Linked DNA regions of Daphnia pulex. The protein of the gene in region 2 interacts with the protein of the main gene of each other region in a pairwise test. Links are inferred from orthologs where the notes say so. Each region holds a gene or a part of one and is shown on either strand. Other genes may lie near its edges. The genes, in order: elongation factor 1-gamma-like; delta(3,5)-Delta(2,4)-dienoyl-CoA isomerase, mitochondrial-like; peroxisomal targeting signal 1 receptor-like.

Region 1 (7,997 bases), on a different chromosome or scaffold from region 2:
ACTTATTTAAACATAAGCTTAAACGTATTTGAAATTGTTTATCCAGAAACGAAAACGCAAACATCAAGTTTAAATAAATATAAAACACACGGCCGCGGTTATAGTTAAATAGGTAGATTAACGTTTGAAGAAAGATAGCGAATATTTTACCGTTTGTGATTGATGTTCATCATCACTCCATTCTTCCATTTCTAGGGCTTGTTCTTCTTCGGCATTTGTCCCGTCTTTAAGCAATTCCACTTCAGACATCGTGTTATGGGTGAACTTGAACAATAAATGAAATCAAAATAATATTAGCTTTTTAGGGGCCCGGCTTGTTATGCTTAGATCACCATGACAACGTTTGGAAAGTTACATAAAACAATAAAACTGGGTTTTCAGTTGGTAACACACCCGCTTGGCGACATGGAGATCGTTTTGGTTTTGTTGGACGCTCAGTTTAACGTGATGCGTTAAAGATTGCACCTTCATATTTTATTTCAAATCTAAAATGCATCGATATTTCCTCCTAGAGGATTCGTAATTGTTCCAAAAGATGTTTTAGAAGTTATGCAGTTTTCGGGATCAACAGATCCTTGAAACTTCACTACTGACATTTTTGTTTTATTTGGAAATTATAGCGATGTTGATGTTTTTATTTTTATATTTTTAGTAAATGATAATTCGTTGCCTCCTATTATTATTCCTACTACAGTTAACCTAGAAGGTAAAGATTGCAACACTAATTATCCTTTATTTTTATTTGATTTAAAATCTTCACTTAATAAAATTTACGCAACGTAATTATTATTATTGGGACTTGACAACTTGATTACTTTTAGTACAGACTCTAGCCAATTGTAAGAATCAAACCCGAGAGACTCACGAAAATAATATTGAAGTTATAAAGGAATGTAATAAACCGAAGAAAAGCAACATTACATGGAGTAAACAATAATCATACGGTCGATTGTTAGTTGTTTAGTGCAGGTTTTGTTGCAGAAATTTCCTTCTCAACTCGAATTTCCGTAATAACGGGTAGGATGACAGGTTTGGCCTCCACTCTGTGTATTCACTAGACGATTATTTTGCGCCTGAAAATATAAATGGAATGAGTACTCTCCATGAATAAACGAGTAAAAATTACTTATATATTAAATGTTGTTGGAGAGGTAATTCGAAACAGTTCTAAATTGACAACCCAGCTGCCTGTAATACCAATCGAAATCAAATGTTTGATCTCAGCTTTCGTACATCAAATAAATTAAAATTTAGAATACAATCCCCGACACACTGATCATTATATATAATGCAAATCAATTTTATTGACTGGCTCATTGTAAATGACATAAATCAAGATCAATCGATTCGATTTGGTCATTATTAAGCTGGAAACAGACTCGATCATTTAAACACATGGCGAACAGACGGGGAATTTATTTTCACTTACATTGGAAGCAGGTATAGCAGAGTGATAGCCAGCTGAGGTCGGAGGTCGTAACGGGTTTCCTGTTATGATGCTACCGCTCTTCGATGCATGGTTTTGCTGCTGAATAGGAATTCCAGAAGGATGTGAGGCACCAGGTAACGAAATTGGAGTTAACAACCCAGTATGAGGCCGCAACCCTCCTGCCGAAACAGAATTGACATTCGTGGATACATTTGGACTAGAACCAAGAGAAGGAGAAATGAAAATCTTCTCTTGTTCGGTAGTTCCGTAAGCATTAGAATTTTTGTTTATCATATGTTCAATTGGCTGGTGATATCCTTGAATTGCATTTAAAAAAATAACAAACAGAAATTTAAATATTTGAAAAGAAAAAAAAAAAATAATTATTTTAAACCTTGATTCAAAGATGGGCCAGAATTTCTTGTTGGGATGCCTACAAATAAGTACAATAAAAATTTTCAGTAATCTCTTAAGTTATAATTCCAGAAATTATCAACATTAATTTTTCTTCTTCTTCTTGTTATCGCATGAATTACTTGAATAGCGTAATTTGCATTAAAATAAAAAAATTAGAATTGATCCATAAAAACTTACTTCTTTGAGCATTCTGAGATAGCACATTTCCTTGTCCTACATAAACAGTTGCATGGTGCTTACCATCATCTTTCGATGATGCGGGAGTCTGAACAGAATATGTTGGGCGAGAAGAACCCGAGTGGTTGGGATAGCTGTACATGGATCCTGGAGGAAGTTGGTAACCAGCACTGGCTGCGCTATGGGCAGCACTTACAGAAACTGAGTGAGTGTAAAAGATGCTGCCTGGAACTGCAGGGCTCCCTCCATAGGGACTACCTATACTCTCTAGAAAAGAAAGTAAACAATAAATAAATCAGTATAGTGCTCACCAAGAATGATTTATACTTGAATTGTATGGGGAAAGGGCTGGTGGCTTGTAAGAATGATACAGCTGTGGTGGTGGTGGGGATGGACTACGAGGTCTCTTCTGATTTGTTTGACTTTGATGTCCAAGAGAAGGAACCATATTGATTGCTTGTCCATAAAGTGATGAAGGAGGCACTCCTTGCAAATTCAAAATGCTTTCTTCCTTCCCTCCATTAAATACTGGCCTTGAAGCCCCAAGATTAGGATGCATGTACACAGAACCATGGGTGTTTGGATGCACTAATGGAGCTCCAGATGGATAGGGATGAAACAGCATCATATCACTGCTAATGAAAAATATTTGAGTTTCTAATCTAATTCATATGGACAAAAATTTCATAGGATATTGATCACTCTTGATATGAACACTGGTAGGGAAAATTTTACCAAATTAAACTTTTAGTGTCCATTTACTATTTACACACTTCCTAGGATATTTCAGCATGAATATTGTCTTCTTATTCTATGCTAAGAATGAATTTTAAAAGAAAAAATAGATAGCATACTTGAAACTGGATTCTTTGATTTTTCTTCTCGTATCATCCTCATTTAGAACTTTTTTGAGTTGCAGAAATAATTGATGCTTATCCTCTTTCAGTTGAGAAAGCCTGGATTCTGACTGAGCAACTTGTTCCTTAGTTTCTTCTAAAGTCATCTCTTGTTCTTTTTGCTGATCTTCTCTTTCTCTTCGCTGTCGCTCGACCTCAGCATCAGCTTCTTGTTCTGTTTAAGAGTAAATGAGTTACAGAGCACAATTGAAACATTAACACAATTATTGTGGAGCTTCATCATAACAACCTTGCTTTTTCCTTTGTCTCTCTCTGATTATGTGTGATTTTAATGAATTCCACATAGGTCTGCTGAGTTTCGGCTTTTCTAAAACAATGGCGGGCATTTTGTTTACTTTCTACACTAACGCTCCGACTTCAGATGAATGCACTGAGTTAATTATTTGAAAATATTTGAATTGTTTGGTTTGAAGTCCTTTCTTGACTCGCGTAAAACTGTTCTTTTTAACACAGTTTGAGCTTGATACACTTCTTGTCTTCGTGCTAAGTCCATGAAGTACCGACTACCGAAGTACCGAAGTACCACCGAGACCGAACTACCGAAGTACACCTTCCTGCTAAGTGCTGCTAAGACAGTTGATGCTTTCATGGATTCTCAGTTTCTCCCCAAAGATGTCGTGGCACGACCGGCAGCCTATAGAAGTCAGGTAGCCTTTGATCTCTAGAAGACAAGAAGAGCATGAGTAAACGTAAAAAAACCATAGTTCTGTTCCGTCGGTTCCAGGTCGGTCTAGCGGCGATTCTAGTGTCGCATTCTAGTGTTTGCATTTTAAAGTTCTAGCTCTATTCCGTTTTAAGTATCCACTTTCCACCTCCACATTCCACTTCCACATTCCACATTCCACTTTCCACATCCTAACTGCAACTCTGCAAGAGTGGCCCGCAAGGCAGACCAACAAAGGGCTGCGCGCTTAACAGCGTTGCCATGTAGAAATTTTCAACTATTCTCACGTTTGAGCTCGTTCTCTCTTGCAGCAGACTTCTTCTTGGTTCCACGTCAGGTTCTCGTCCCTGCATTTGATCATCATGGCTTCTGGAGTAAGTACGATCTGTGTTTGAATCTAAGAAATTCCGTGACATCTTCTTGTGTTTTAAAGCGTGATTCTGTTGTCCAATATCTAATTAATCGGGTTTTTTTAATTTTAGACTTTGTACACTTACCCAAGCAACTTCAGGGCCAATAAGGCTTTGATTGCTGCTCAATACTCTGGTTTCAAAATAAATGTCGCTTCCAACTTCGTCTTCGGCGAGACCAACAAGAGTGAAACTTTTTTGAAGAAATTTCCGTTGGGAAAGGTAATTTTCTTTATGCGGTTCATTTTCATGGTGGAAAGTTTTAAGTCTATGTGATTGTATTGATAGGTTCCAGCTTTTGAATCCCAAGATGGGCAGTGCATTGCTGAGAGCAATGCAATTGCATATTTCGGTAAATATTACTACTAAAATAGTATTCCTCTGGAATTGAGATGTAATGAGTGTTATTGAACAGTTGCCAACCAGCAGCTTCGAGGAAACAGTGACGTGGAAAAGGCCCAAGTCCTTCAGTGGATGTCATTTGCCGACAGTGAAATTCTTCCACTGTCCTGTACTATTGTTTTCCCTGTCCTTGGAATCATTCAGTACAACAAACAAGTATGTTTCTTATTTTAGTTTATTTGTGCAAAGCTAATTTTATATGTACAATGTTAATTGGTGTATTGTTTGTATAGGCTGTTGAACATGCTAAAGAAGAATTGAAGGCTATTTTGTCTGTCGTCAACAACCACCTTCTTACACGCACCTTTTTGGTTGGAGAGAAAATAACTCTTGCAGATATTGTTCTTTCTAGCAATCTTCTCCACCTTTATGAGAGCATTTGTGATGAAACTAACAGGAAGCCTTATCAAAATTTGAATAGATGGTTTATTACTTGTGTTAACCAACCACAATTCAAAGCCATCATTGGAGACTTTAAGATATGCCAGAAAGAGTGTCCAGTTGATCCCAAGAAGTTTGCTGAATTTCAGAGTAAGAAAATTCTAAACATTTAATTCATTGCCATTTTTATCCAATGTGTCAACAGGTAAAATAACTGGATCTCTGAAAAAGGAAGAAAAGAAATCTGTCAAGGATGAAAAGAAGAAAGAGAAAAAAGAAGAGAAACCAAAGCCAAAGAAGGAAGAGCCAGAAGAGGCTGAGGAAATGGATGCAGCTGATGCAGCCCTATTAGAGGAACCCAAGTCCAAGGATCCATTTGATGAAATGCCCAAAGGAACATTCAACATGGATGATTTCAAAAGATTTTATTCTAACAATGAAGAGTCAAAATCCATCCCTTATTTCTGGGACAAATTCGACAAGGAAAATTATTCTATCTGGTTTGGAGAGTACAAATACTCTGATGAACTTACCAAAGTCTTCATGTCTTGCAATTTAATCTCTGGTATATTCCACAATTTTTTTTTTTTTTTTTTGTTTTCAAAGAAGAAATCCCATAATATTCACATTTTTTAATAGGCATGTATCAACGTTTGGATAAAATGAGGAAACAATGCTTTGCATCCATGTGCTTATTTGGAACAGACAATGATTGTACCATTTCAGGAATTTGGGTGTGGCGTGGGCAAGATTTAGCTTTCCAGGTAAGATGGTTTACAATGATGTTACCTCTTTCAAAGACACAAATATTTTTTGTTTTCGATATTTTGTGTAACAAGTAGAGGGAAAGTAATAAGACTTACCTGTTTTTAAGCTTAGCTTTGCTTGAAGTAATGGATCTAAGTTTTAACAATATTTTTTGTTTAGTTGTGTCCTGATTGGCAGATTGACTACGAGACATACGACTGGAAGAAATTGAACCCTGATTCAGATGAAACCAAGAAGATGGTGGCGGAGTATTTTGCCTGGTCCGGCACTGATAAAAATGGTCGTCCTTTCAACCAGGGAAAGATTTTCAAGTAGTTTGGTATCTATACTCGTGGAGTGTTGTATCACAACCATTATCAATACAACTGATGAGCTACTTGATATGTTGGAGTTCATTCAGACTTACATTAAATTGTTTTAGCTTGCTGATTTAAGAATATATTGCTTAATCCCCTCTTTGATTCTCCATTGGGGTCACAGACCATTTTATTACACTCCCCTTTGATGAGTTGCAAGTCACGCTCATGTTAATAACTTCAAAGCAGTATTTATACATCTCAAAGCGTTTTGAACAATAATTTGCGTGGTTTGGTATACCAATTATCAAACAAAATTTAGAATTTGTTATGAACGAGAAAATGGTGCACAAAAGCTTTTTACAAAAAAAGGCGGATTAACATACAACAGAGCACCAGGTTCTCCGACTTTCCAAGCTGATGGATCGATTTCACAGGCGAAATAGGAATAATCAACAGTAGTGCCTCTAGTGCTCGATTACACCAACAATTTGGCTAACTATTTTATACTCAAGTGATCCAAGCTCTAAGCCCAGCTACAAAGTGTTTATTGGTTCGCTTGGTCATTAAGACGAGCTGTGATCATGTTGACAAACCCTAACGTTTTTACCATAATATTTTTTAATTTCCTTTTTATCTATAAAATTATTCATACGATTCAGCATTCTTAACTGCATGATATAACAAAATTCCCACCGTGAAGGGTAATTTGTGACACTTAAAAGAAAAACCTATCATACAGATCAGCCTGAAAACGCCTGTAAAATACGGAACGCCAAATAGAATTGGCTAACGTCCGAAGTTGCCAATTCGACTTGGACGAATGATCGATTGGACGGTTACGGTTGACGTCCAATTTTTGGATTTTGGACGTCAACCGTCCAATCGTCAACGTCCAACGAACTGGCAACTTCGGACGTTAACCAACTCTATGATCCCCTATAATTATACTAGTGCCAGAGCTGCTAGTGCTATTTATTTTAGAAATCAATTGAACATGGTGTATTATTATTATTTTTCCCCTCTTTTCACCCTTTTCGTCTTTCGCCTTTGGGCCCTAAGGGCAAAAGAGGGGATATAGGCAGCACGAAAAAGGGGGAAAAAGAGCAAAATAGGGTCTTTGGCTCTTTGCATGAAATTTAAATTTGTTTAAAACATACTTGGTTAGAATCAGTTTTTTACGCTGATTCTCATGGTATTTTTTAAATATTTTTAAAATGAACCTATCTATGTGTATTTCTAATTCAAAGTTCAAATAAGCGCCTCCCATTTCAAAACGGGCCCTCAGCCATTTTTTAGGGGCGGAGCTTAATTTCTGATAAATTTGTAGACGACGCTCACCAACATCACCAAAATCACCCTTGAGAAATCGGAAGTCCAAAAAGGACTTTTTTTGCCAATCAATAATTAGAAAGCTATACATTGCTTTAAATTGGCATTTTTAAAATTAATCGGGCATTATCTTGTTTATTTAATGGCAAAAGCCTCTAATTTTTAAGTATTATAGTTTAATGGAAAAACTTAATTTTGTCACGGCCGCTTAGCCATAAGGCACCATGTAAACCACGGCTGCCGCGCGGCTGAAAAAAATTTGACCGTCTGTCACTATTAATTTCATAAATAATCTATTTTACACGTGATGTTGAATTGTTGATGAAAATTTGATAACTTATAAAGTAAAAGACGTGAACACGAGGAAATTTTTTAAACAATTTTTTTATAATTAGAAGTACCATATTTTTTCGAAAATAAAAAAAATTTAATATAAAATGTTTTTTTAACAGAAATATTTAATATTTTCACGGAGGGTTTTGGATGTAACATCTTAAACACTACAATAATAAAGCTCATTTAAAAAATTTCATGTTGAATTTTGTTCGAGGTTAAAAATTAATTACCCTCGACTATACAGAAATGTTCGACACACCAGCACGGATTTGATAGAGGTGGATGGTCTAGTCTTTTATGGGAATAAATTGGTTTTTCCGGTATCCTTGAGCGAGGCCATGGAATGCGTCTTTTTTGGACATTTTTGTGAAGTAAAATGTGTCAGGCGGGCCAAGTCGTCCGTATACTAGTCGTCCGACCACATCCGTAACATGTTGCCCAGCTGCTCCACCTGTCAGTAGAACTGAC
Region 2 (7,062 bases):
ACCTGTCAAATAGCGTAAAAATACATGACTTATTTTGTGACTTAAGTCATGACGGTGACGTAATTTTTTTTGGCAGTTACGTTGACTTTTTTTTTTGACTTTTGACGTTAGGTTTTCAAATGACGTATGACGTGCAAATTTTTTCTAAGTCACTGAAAACTCCGTGACGTTCCGAACACTGTCCATTTGAAAATGTGGTAACATCCTTGAACTAATCTTTTACTTAATCGCCAGATTGTGTGGAGGCCACGACGTGGGCGCGTGTCATGCCACTGGCAACGTGACGCCAATGCTGATAGGACAATTAACAGGATTTCGTCATCAGAACTTTATTCAAACGCTCAAAATTCATCCTGGACTGGAATTAATTTGGGGGAAATTGGTGATTACAAGGATCGGACGACTTCAATGTCCCATTGGTTCTTGAGTCCGACCCAAACTTCGTTCTCTGGACCGCGCCAGGTGAAGACCCGATGGCGGGTCTCGTCCAGGGCCAACTGGTCGGGAGCCACGTAGAGGTACTCGCGTCGTTTGGGACTGAAAAGAGCGTAGCGGTTGGGGAATTGCTCCGTGTTGACGCGGTAAGTGTCCAGGAGCCAATCGGCCGCTCCATCGGCCCAGGTGTGGACGTCCTCGGGTTTGCTGTACTGGCGCCAGGTGAAGACGCGACGTCGATCCTTGTCGTAGGAGAACTCGTCGGTCGACGGGTACAGGTACTCGTGCGGGAACCGCAAACTGGTGAAACGAACCCGGAAGACGCCGGCCTTCCACAGTCCAGTCAGTCGCCATTCGGCCCACAATCCCAGCGGCTCGTCCTTGTTGCGCCACGTAAAGACTCGGCGTCGTTTGGCGTCCTGGGAGAACTCGTCCCGTCCAGGGTAAAGATACTCGCCAGTTCGGGCGTTTTTAATCCGGACGATCAAAATCTGCCCGTCAATCAGCCGGGAGATGACACTCTTCTTCTCCTCGCAATTATTCGGAATTTCCTCTTCCAGTTCCACTGAAAAAATGAATTAAGTTAATGACATAACAGTTAAATTGATTATCAGATGAAATACCTGACGCAGGTAAAACGAGCCCCAAGGAATAAGAAGTAGATGCGCTGTGGACGATGGGTCCAGTCATTTCAGCTCCCGCGTGGTAATTCACTTCGAGCCGGCCGAGATCCTTCCAGACGCGACCCTCGCGGATGGCGTTCAACTTGATCCTGTACAGCTGGATCGGTTTGGGCACGAATTTCTCACCGTCAAAGCTGACGAATTCCTTGTGCTGGTCGTACAAGGCGTCGATGGCCTCCTTCGACCGGGTCTTCCATTCACTGGACGATTGCTGCTGCTGTTCCTCCTGGACGTCAAAGTTATCGTCGTCGTGGTGGACCAGGTGGCGTTTGCGTTCATTGAGGGATCGGGCGATGGCATCGGGACGGCTCAGTGGGTCTTCCCAGTAGACGGTGGGCCATTTGGCGTCGTCGGCCGTCGAGATTGTCAATTTGGCCGCCACGACAACTTTTTCCAGTTGGTCGTAGATTTTCTGGCGAGAGTCCCTGCGCACGATCGCTTCCGGTTGTTCCCCGAAACTTTCGCGGACAATGTCGGAAACGGCCCGCCATAAAAGACGCTGGGCATCACCGACGGACAACAGGATCTCGTTGGTCCGCGGGAATCGCTGGCTGATTTGACTGAAAAGCTGATTGGTCTGCGTCAACATGCTCTGCGTTACCTGGACGATTTTGGTCTCCGTCTGCCTCCGGCTGTCCATGCTGTAGGCCACTTTGAATTTGTCGAATTGTTCCGGCTCCTTACTGAACTGCTCGGCCAGTTGTTGGCATTCGGCTTTGTCGTAACAGGCCAAACTGAAACCCACCGTTTGCGTGTACGGGATCATGGGCTGGGCCATATGATAACGTCCGTCCTCTTCTACGTCGCTGGATCTGGTCAGGATGACCCGGTCGAACGGGATCGACTCGACCTGGTAGGTCCGCACCTTTTTGCCCGTTACCCGCGTCAGATGGGTGGCGACAGCTTGCTGGATCGTCTCGTTCCACATTTGAACGCGGAAGCCGAAATAGAGTTGGTTGTTGACTCCGCTGTACCAGTGGGTGATGCTGGAGCTGTCCAGAATGGCCGCTGGACTGAACTGGTAAAGGGACTTGCTGTGGTAGTTTTTCCGGCCCTGGACGCGGTAAATGTTGAGCCTAGTTGTGCCGGCAAACGACATGGTCGCCAAAGGTTTGCCCAGAAAATGTTCCAGGTCTTTGGCGATTTGATTTTCTCCAGCTCCAGCCGACTCGGCAGTCTGATATACATTTGCAATGTTGGTTTGTTCGGGAGTCCCGGGAAGAATGAAGGCTCTAGTCGATGATGCCAAGATGGCCATCGTTAGTAACAAAGCTAGTTTCATCCTGGAATCCAAATGTACTGTGGCCAAGATAGTAGCAAACAATTAGTCTATATTTTGGGGTATTTTAAAAGGTTAAATCAAATTCGTCAGCAGTGCAAATCATTTGAGATACTAATAGTTGCAAAACGTTGGCTTACCCAATTGGAATGAAGTGTAGATATGTATTAGAGAGATTTTCGAATGGAAAAGTGGATTGAAAGTGACGGCAAGTGGCGGTCGTTCGCCGACTGATCAGCTATTATCGCAGAAGGATGGCCACCTTTTGTATCGTACCAGATGCCCTTCGCCATCATCGATATCACCATCAGTTGGTGACGAAGTGAGTTCATGGCGGATTCAGCAGTTCATCAGAAAAATAATGAGGTCAGCAGAAGAGATGAAATGTTACACCGACAGAAGGTTTTCTGGGTTTTACCAAACCAGATTTGGACGTGAGCTATCAAAAATTCAAAACAAGTGAAGCATCAAGTTCGTCTGAATGTTGTTGTTGCAACAGCGACCGACGACAAAACATAAACAATGTTCCAGGCGTGTCAGTTTATTAGACGTCAACGACTTCGACGAATTTAGAAAAATCAAATCCGGGGTGATCATTTGATCAACAAAGTCGGAAGACAACTTGAATCCGTAAATTGGCTGAAATTCTATCTAAACGGACCCAAACGACCCTTGATAGATGGCGCGATTAACTATCCATGTCTGATCTCCATTCCAAGATGGCACTGTTTTCTATTTCATTTCGTTTGTTTGTGTTTCCAAAGTCCATCTGTCAAAAGATTCTCAATCTAATCAGAATCAAAGTTTTCGATAATCATGCAAACTGCTTTTAAAGTATTGGGTAAATTGCACACCAAAAATATGTGTCTTAGAAATCAAATTAATGTAACATTTTTTTAAATAAATTTAGGACAAAGCGCAGTAAGAACATTGTCTACCTATTCAGCAGCCATGGCATCTTCTGCTGCTTCGTCCAACAAGTACAAATTTGAAACCTTGTCAGTGTCCACTCCAAAGGACTATGTTTATCATGTTCAACTTAATAGACCTCAGCAATTTAATGCAATGAATAGTGCCTTCTGGAGGTATGGTCTTGTTCAAATTCCCATTTTATAATTATTAATTATCTTTTCGTTTAAAGGGAAATGGTAGAGTGCTTTCAAGCAATTAGTGAAGACAGCGACTGCAGGGTTGTAGTCATCTCTGCAAATGGCAAGCATTTCACTTCAGGTCTTGATTTGAGTGACATGGGTCCGTTAATGGAGACCGTTTTGGGAGATGATGATATTGCCAGGAAATTTCGTACACTTCATCAGTTCATTAAACGCTATCAGTTGTCATTCACCTCAATTGAGCAGGTTTGTTATTATTTTGCAGCCACAGAATAATTTATTACAATTTTTCATTCTATACTCGATCCTTTAAGTGTCACAAACCAGTAATTGCTGCTATTCATGGAGGTTGCATAGGGGGTGGTGTGGATTTGGTCACTGCTGCTGATATTCGTTTCTGTACTCAGGATACCTTCTTCCAAATCAAAGAAGTTGAAATCGGTATTTATAGTCACCAATATTACAAGGTTTTCATGTGATGTAACTCTTCCATTGTTTCCATAGGACTTGCTGCCGACGTGGGAACGTTGCAGCGCTTACCTAAAGTGATTGGATCAGATAGTTTGGTCCGCGAATTGGCCTACACGGCCCGAAAAATGTTTGCGGACGAAGCAGCTCAAGCAGGTCTGGTGAGTCGAGTCTTGCCCGATAAAGACTCGCTGCTCAAAGCAGCTCTGGAGACGGCCAGCGCCATTGCCGGCAAATCACCGGTGGCCATTCAAGGTAGCAAACATAATCTCAATTACGCCCGAGATCACTCGATCGAACAAGGACTGAGTTACATGGCCACATGGAACGCGGCGATGCTGCAATCGGAAGACTTGCGCATCGCCGCCATGGCCGCCATGGATCGTAAAGGTCCTCCGCCAGTCTTTTCAAAGCTTTAAATTGTTAAAAAAACGAAATGTAATTTTTTTAGTTCATATTTTAAAATTATACAGATATTATGGCTAATATTGATTGAATCAAAAACGAGAAAAAGCTATTTGATGCAATTAATTTTGTATTTAAAAATGTTCGGGTAAATGTGCCATTAATCTTTTAAAATCGAATGTTGCGCAACGAATGAAGCGTCTCTTCGAAAATGGGTGCCAGATATTTGGCCGCCTCTTTGCTGATTAATGGAGACGATCCTTCTTTCTTGGTTTCGACAATTTTTTCGATTGGCGATTCGATTTTAGTTGCTGGAACGTCCCATCCAATGTATTCGCCATTCTTAGCATTCTCAGCTTCCAGCCACACTTTCAATGGCTCAAAGTAATTGAGCAGAGGAGTAGCAAGGACATCGCGCTGACCAGTCATGGCTTCCATGGCGTCTTGCCAAGGCTTGGAGGCTCCTAATTGCAACATTGCCCTATTACCCCCCACCAAACAGACAAAAATTTATTTAGTCAGAAATTAACACACGAAATTTTGAATTTAAATACGCAAGAGCATCTCCAGCGGCGGTCGAGTTGTAGAAATCGCATTTGTAAAGTGGTCCAACATGGCCGGCAGCGGTGCAGAGTACTTCATTGAATTGATATTGGAAGAAAGTGCGCATGAAATAGCGGATCATGTCGTAATTGTTGCAGACGTGGAAAATGGCCGTAATGTCCAGATCCTGGGCGGGATCACGTCCCACAGGTGGCGCCACTCCTAGCACTCGAGCTCTACATTTTTGTTTTGATTATTAAATTATTTTAATTGCCAATTGTTCATTTTTTAAATACTTGTCGGCCCAGTATTGGGTGTTGAGTTCGGCTTCTGGGATGTCACCTCTGAACATGTTCCAGCGCCAAGTGTCTTGAGTCAAATGGAACGGCAAGGTCGAAATGGTGTTTAACGCTTGGAAAAGTAAAAAGTTCATGTCCACATCTGGGAAAAGAATTATTTTGATGGGTTAATCGAAATTCATTTCATTTGCAGAGTTTTAATTAATCCACCTGGATCATCTGGAACGTTAAGTAGCCCAAGAGTGTTGAGATGTTTGGTGGTGGAGAAACTCATAGACATGAGCTCTCCGACAGCCTCGTGAAATCCATCGTTGGCTCCATCCCTGTCAAGTCATTGATAAGAAATGATTTTTATTTGACTTTTGTCTAGCCGTTTTTAAAATTATATAAGCTACAGGGATCAGTCAACATGTCAAACGACGCAGTTTGCTTTATCTTCGATCAAACAAAGTCAACAAGGACACAAGGATATCTGATAAAAATGGTTTTTACCTGTAGTTGAGTGGCTGAAATGCATATTGCTGAAAAGGTAAAGAAAATATCCAAATTACGTCATATTCGGTAATTAAAAAATTAAATGTTTAATACCATAAAGTATTGAATGTGACCCAGTTCGTGATGGACAGTCTGGAAATCTTCAAAAACGACTCGAGCGCACATTCGAATCCTGAAATCCTTGGCGTCGTAGAAATCCCATGCCGTTGCGTGACAAGCGACTTCACGACCGTCTGTCGGTTTCTCCAACATGGACAAGTTCCAGAAAGTCTCGGGCACCGGCAGCAAACCCATGGAAGTGTAGAAGTCGTTTCCGGTGCGGAACATGCGTTCCACCGTGTAATTTTGACGGATCATTTCCGGCGAAGGATCAGTGGATGGTTTGTCGGGATAAGGAATGGCGATGGGGTTCAAATTGACCCAGAAACGGCCCCACATGTCGCCCAAAAGATGGGCAGGTAGCGGTCCACGCAAGTCAATGTTATTGGCTCCGTAAGTGTTGTAGAGCTTTCGTCGGATGTAGGCGTGCAGTTGCTTGTACAGAGGCTCGACTTGGCTGTAAAGATCCTGGACGATCGTCTCCATTTCGGTGGTTTCGTATTTTTGACGCCATTGGTCTCCGTAGTCGTCGTAGCCGTTGAGCTGGGCCTGTTTGTTCGACAGTTCCACGTAACGCAAATAGAGCGGACGCAATTGGCGACCCACTCCGTCGTGCCACGCTTGCCACGCCCACAAATGGTCGTCGTCATTGCCAATCTCGGCCATCAGCTCAGTCAATTCCGGTTCCAGATACATGCACTCGTTGAGTCCAGTCGACGGATTAGATCTACAAGCCTATTTCAAATTCAATTTGATTAGTTAAATGGGGACTTACAACCAAGAAAAATGGATCCTGTACCTGGTAACTGCCGTAGATGCGGCCCATTTCACTGAGGATGTTGTACAATTCCTCCGACTCGGCATCATCTAAACTGACGGATTGCAGGTAAGAAAATTGACGTTTAGTATCTTCGCTAAAGTTGGTCGTGTCGAATGTCGAAGCATTGGCACTGGCTTGCGCGTAATAGGCTCCAGCCACTCCGCCAGCTTCAGCCTTTAATTATGCAAATTAATAGGTTAATAAAATGAATTCTCATTGAAAGAATTAGGAAATGCTTACAACGGCCATTGCGTTTTCATCGGTCAAATTGGTTTCGTAATTCCAAGATGCGAGAACGTATTGATTGAGAATTGGGCCGTATTCGGCGTCGTAGTGCTCTAGGAAAGCGATAGCTTCATCTTCATTTGTATTCAATCGCCTGATGTGAACGTGGAATGAATTTAATTTCAAAGGGAAATTTGTG
Region 3 (4,268 bases), on a different chromosome or scaffold from region 2:
AATATTGTCGGACATGACGCGCTTAGAACGTCTAGCTTGAAGGAGTAAAGCGGACACTAGATGTTCGGCTGCTTCTCTGTTTCGAGAATTTAGAAAATGTATACACTAAACAGGATTGGAGAAAGAAAATGTTAATCTTTATTACCTGTGAGCACCTAGGTTGATACAGGAAACTGCCAAGTTATAACGCGCGCGAATGAAACCAGGCGACAGCTCTAGAGCTTTGTAATATGACTCAATGGCCTCTTCAGATTTCCCTCCATTGGCTACAAATAACACGTAAATCATGCATACGTTCTTATGTAAGACTATTCTATGTAAGAAAAGCTAGTCACCTAAAGTTGCTCCGAGCCGATTCCAAAGCAAAGAATCCTGAAAATAGGAATTAACAATAAATAAAATCATAAACTTGAAAAAAGTACATGCAAATAATAAATCACCACAACTTACATTAGGTTTCATCTGAAGAGCAGCCCTGAAACAATCGGGAGCCTAAAAATTGAAGCAATGCAGCCAATTGAAAAAATCAAGAAAATCGAATAATTTCATAAATGCATCATACTTTATCAAAATCCCCAGAGAGATTGAGAAGTACGCCTAAGCCAGTTTGCACATCGGGATCTAAGTCTTGGGAAGGTTGTAATCGAGCTGCTGTTAAGTACATATCCTGAACTCGGTTAAAAGTATCCCTAGGTAGAATTTAAAACTCGGGTAAGTTTGCGCCGTAATATCACAACAAATTAGAAAATATTTCCTGTACCCAGAAACTAGGCTTGTAAATGTTCTCTCCCGTTCGTTAACCCTGGCTGATGAAGGAGAGGTCAAGTGTCCGTACTTGGGATTGTTCCGCAACCAGTCCTAATAATATAAAACCACCTTTAATGTTGTATGCCTTACACTAATTGGAAAACAATTACCTCCAGGGCTTGGCAAGCTTGCAACTGGTAAGATTCATTTGTGTAACTTACAGCCAGACCCATCATGGCAACAAGATTTGTTGGTTCCAATGCTAAGCAACGCTTGTATGCGGTAATTGCCCCTGGATCTTGTTCGTTTTCGGCAAGAGTCAACCCTAAAATAAAAAACAAGCTAACTTTACACAGAATCCTGGCATATAAATAATTAGATATTTTTACCAAGAACTTCCCAAGCTTTCACATGTTCAGGATCTTTTTTTAGAGCTGCCTCAAACAGCAAAATGGCACTTGGAAGATCACCTTCTAATCTTTTTTGGAGACCTGTATTGTAAGGATCCGCGTTGTCTTGGTACGGATTCTCTGCCTCAAATGTGTACTAAAAACCAACAGAAGTGAGAATCAAGGAACTAGTAAATACCATGCGCATTATTACTTCACTTAACGGATCTTGTTGCGTTTCCTTAAGCCATCCGTAGCTTGCAGGGTTGTCGTCGGCTGCTTTTTCCCAGTCTTGTTGAAGTTGTGACCAGAAGTCATCTTGAGCTGGATTTCCGCCCCTAAACACTTCAGCGCTGGCACCGTCTTTATATATGCAAAAAAAATTACAAGGATGAAGTTGATTAGCTACTTAAAATATATAACACTACCGCTGAATTCTTTTGTCCATTCGTCGGCCGAATCAGGTTGACGATTAGTTGTGAATTCAGCAGCCCAGTCTTGATCTGCACTGGATTCTGGCTGTCTTGTTACACCCTCTGAGCCAGAAAACTCCTCCGCCCAGTTTGAATTACTATGAGCGGTAGTAGTCCGAGGTTCCGAGGTCAAATCCTCCTCCCCTTGATTGACCTTGTGCATAAACTGCAAAAACTGAAAGCTTTTTTTCAGAAACTTTGGTCAGGAAAGGGATCATGCGCATAAAATATTACCTCAGATTGAGCAAATTTTGGATCTTTCATTCTGTCAATAATTTCTCCGGCAGTTTGGGCTAATGCGCCAGGAGCAGAAAATCCCGGTTTTTCTATATGAGAGGTTAAGCTATCCCAATGGTTGTCCCACTCTGCATAATCATCTACAACTCCCATATAGCCAGGACTGTCCAGAAACTCCTGACTCCATCCACTAGCAGAAGGTAAATCTTCTGGTATCACATGAGGTTCTTTCCTCAAAAAATCTTCAGCCCAGTTTTTGTCATCAAATGCATAATGGGCTACATTTGGTCCTGGTTGAATAGGAGGTCTAGCAATTCCTTGTGGCTTTTCCAGATCCCTCATCTCACGTAAAAGGCTATCCATGTTAAAGGCACCTCTTGATCCTACTTGAGATGGAGGTGGAATACCCTCCAAAAATTCTCTGACCATCTAGAAAATAGTTGAGATAAAAAAAAGATTTGTGAGAGAATGCTTTTTCTTTAGACAGTGAGTCAGGAATCAACTTACAACATCTTCTGGTCTCGGTTCAGGGTGTCTATGTGAAACAGGTACATCCTGACGAAATCCTTGATCTCTGGTAAAATGTGATGCTACTTTAAGCATAGGATTCCTTCCACCACAATTTCCATCAACTAATTCTCGAAACGCCATTCTAGGTACTGATGTCCGAGCTCAAGGTCTCCAAACTTCTTCCTGAATGTATAGCTACCTAAAAATACAAAACAATATATTAGTTTCTGTTACACATGTGTCATTAGAAATCATGTGTTACCTAAAAAGAGGGTCTAGCTCAAGAATGGTTCGGTAATAATTTCCCAATACTATTCATCAATATAACTTATGAAAGCAAGTTGTTAAGATATCGTGTGTATGTCTTATCACTGTAACTTCTATCACTCTGCAAAGTCACATCCACACCAATTTCGTACAACAAACAACAAAAGCCACCTAGTGAATAAAGGCCATGGTGGTATAGATGGCTCTGTCGGTCATGAAAAACATTACGACTTTTGTTCGAAATCCCGATCCGACGAGTCGTCAGCTCTGTCCTTCGTTTGGTGAAAATATTTTAGTCTTGAAATTCTGCCTAGTTTTGCCTGTCTATTGTAATTACTCAATACATTTAGTTTGAACATGTCAGCGAACGACGAATTAGTTGCCAATTTCCGGGAAGTAACTGGGATTGATGAACAAAGGGCTCGTTTTTACCTAGAGTCATCCGGTTGGCAATTAGAAGTATACTAAGACAGATTAAGAACAGTTATGAGCATTCAATAAATAAATCACTTTGATTCTCAGACAGCCCTTGCCAGCTTCTTTGAAAATGATGGAGCTATGGACAGGCAAGCTGGAGATGGAGAAGATGAACCTGTTGAAGTTCCTTCAAACCAACTTCCAGAACCCCCATCAAGGTATTAGTTAATATGATTTTTCACATACTGTAGTGCAGACCAAATTTTGAAAATTTAATTATAGAGGTGCTGCTGCTGTCCATAAACTTGTAGAAATGAATAGTTCTTCTGATTCGGATGAAGAGGGCCAAGCTTTTTATGTTGGAGGCTCTGAGAGAAGTGGTCAGCAAGTCATTGGTCCACCACGTAACAAGGGAAAGCCTTCTGGAGATCTCATTGGAGACATGTTCAAATCAGCCAGAGAGTGGGTTTACTCTTTGAGATTATTACAAGAAAAATGTATTAACATTTTCTGGATCCTAGGCATGGAGCAGAAGTTTTGGAAAAGGGGGCCTCAACCTCAACCAAGGGTAATCAAACATTTAAAGGAACTGGATATCGTCTAGGGCAGAGTGAAGAGGATACACAAGGTAGTTATCTTTGCCATGAAATAACAGCACCATGACATTTCTTCAAGCATAATTCCTTTCTATAGTCATACCAGGCGCACGACAGCCTGAACAACCTAGGACCGTTGTGCTAAAATTATGGAAAACCGGCTTCAGTTTAGATGAGGGTCCAGTGAGAGACTACCAAAATCCGGCAAACAAGGACTTCCTTGAATACATCAAACGCGGGTAATTGTGCATTCTACGTTTTAAATATGAATAAAACAATTGTTTACAAATTTCCTTACAATTTGTCCATCATTAGAGAAGTACCCATGGAGTTGATCCGTGAATCTCGCGGCCGTGAAGTGCATTTGCAAATGGAAGACCACCGTACTGAAGAATTCATCAGTAAGAAGATGCGTTTCCAAGTAATATACATTCAAAGTAGTTAGATCGTTAGTTAGTTGTTAAAAACCTACTTGGATTCAGGCTTTTGGAGGTGAAGGACAAGTATTAGGAAATCCAGCCCCTTCGGTTTCTCAAAATGTTGCAGCTTCTGCCGTCGCGCCAACAGATTTAGCGGCGTGTGAACAGAAAGCCATTGTGGAACTTAAATTGGTTGAGTCTGAACCAGCTAGT

Evidence for each region.
Region 1: the proteins of delta(3,5)-Delta(2,4)-dienoyl-CoA isomerase, mitochondrial-like (region 2) and elongation factor 1-gamma-like interact in a two-hybrid assay, tested with the Homo sapiens proteins (2 studies listed by BioGRID and IntAct). The link is inferred for Daphnia pulex from reciprocal best matches to the Homo sapiens genes ECH1 and EEF1G.
Region 3: the proteins of delta(3,5)-Delta(2,4)-dienoyl-CoA isomerase, mitochondrial-like (region 2) and peroxisomal targeting signal 1 receptor-like interact in a two-hybrid assay, tested with the Homo sapiens proteins (2 studies listed by BioGRID and IntAct, with this or other methods). The link is inferred for Daphnia pulex from reciprocal best matches to the Homo sapiens genes ECH1 and PEX5.

The regions. Positions count from the first base shown.
Region 1 is NC_060020.1:8,826,463-8,834,459, forward strand, and holds elongation factor 1-gamma-like, read left to right. Parts: upstream 1-3,683; 5' UTR 3,684-3,966; coding exon 3,967-3,978; intron 3,979-4,086; coding exon 4,087-4,236; intron 4,237-4,302; coding exon 4,303-4,366; intron 4,367-4,429; coding exon 4,430-4,572; intron 4,573-4,649; coding exon 4,650-4,947; exon of another isoform or gene 4,948-5,002; coding exon 5,003-5,362; exon of another isoform or gene 5,363-5,436; coding exon 5,437-5,561; exon of another isoform or gene 5,562-5,588; intron 5,589-5,660; exon of another isoform or gene 5,661-5,724; coding exon 5,725-5,880; 3' UTR 5,881-5,946; downstream 5,947-7,997. Other genes in the region: intraflagellar transport protein 46 homolog, read right to left, coding at 151-249; uncharacterized protein LOC124193185, read right to left, coding at 993-1,073, 1,430-1,746, 1,824-1,862, 2,024-2,290, 2,351-2,658, 2,878-3,094, 3,170-3,266. UniProt on the Homo sapiens protein: Probably plays a role in anchoring the complex to other cellular components.
Region 2 is NC_060021.1:120,078-127,139, forward strand, and holds delta(3,5)-Delta(2,4)-dienoyl-CoA isomerase, mitochondrial-like, read left to right. Parts: upstream 1-3,085; 5' UTR 3,086-3,213; coding exon 3,214-3,238; intron 3,239-3,307; coding exon 3,308-3,482; intron 3,483-3,538; coding exon 3,539-3,755; intron 3,756-3,823; coding exon 3,824-3,950; intron 3,951-4,013; coding exon 4,014-4,396; 3' UTR 4,397-4,463; downstream 4,464-7,062. Other genes in the region: uncharacterized protein LOC124194904, read right to left, coding at 387-1,000, 1,059-2,400; angiotensin-converting enzyme-like, read right to left, coding at 4,551-4,863, 4,937-5,161, 5,222-5,366, 5,435-5,547, 5,717-5,745, 5,813-6,553, 6,618-6,812, 6,879-7,017. UniProt on the Homo sapiens protein: Isomerization of 3-trans,5-cis-dienoyl-CoA to 2-trans,4-trans-dienoyl-CoA.
Region 3 is NC_060028.1:9,644,642-9,648,909, forward strand, and holds the start of peroxisomal targeting signal 1 receptor-like, read right to left. Parts: upstream 2,801-4,268; 5' UTR 2,619-2,800; intron 2,556-2,618; 5' UTR 2,498-2,555; coding exon 2,354-2,497; intron 2,276-2,353; coding exon 1,844-2,275; intron 1,785-1,843; coding exon 1,565-1,784; intron 1,500-1,564; coding exon 1,351-1,499; intron 1,294-1,350; coding exon 1,137-1,293; intron 1,073-1,136; coding exon 918-1,072; intron 859-917; coding exon 761-858; intron 690-760; coding exon 563-689; intron 493-562; coding exon 451-492; intron 373-450; coding exon 336-372; intron 267-335; coding exon 146-266; intron 77-145; coding exon 1-76. Other genes in the region: NSFL1 cofactor p47-like, read left to right, coding at 2,981-3,082, 3,146-3,258, 3,323-3,502, 3,562-3,668, 3,734-3,875, 3,952-4,057, 4,119-4,268.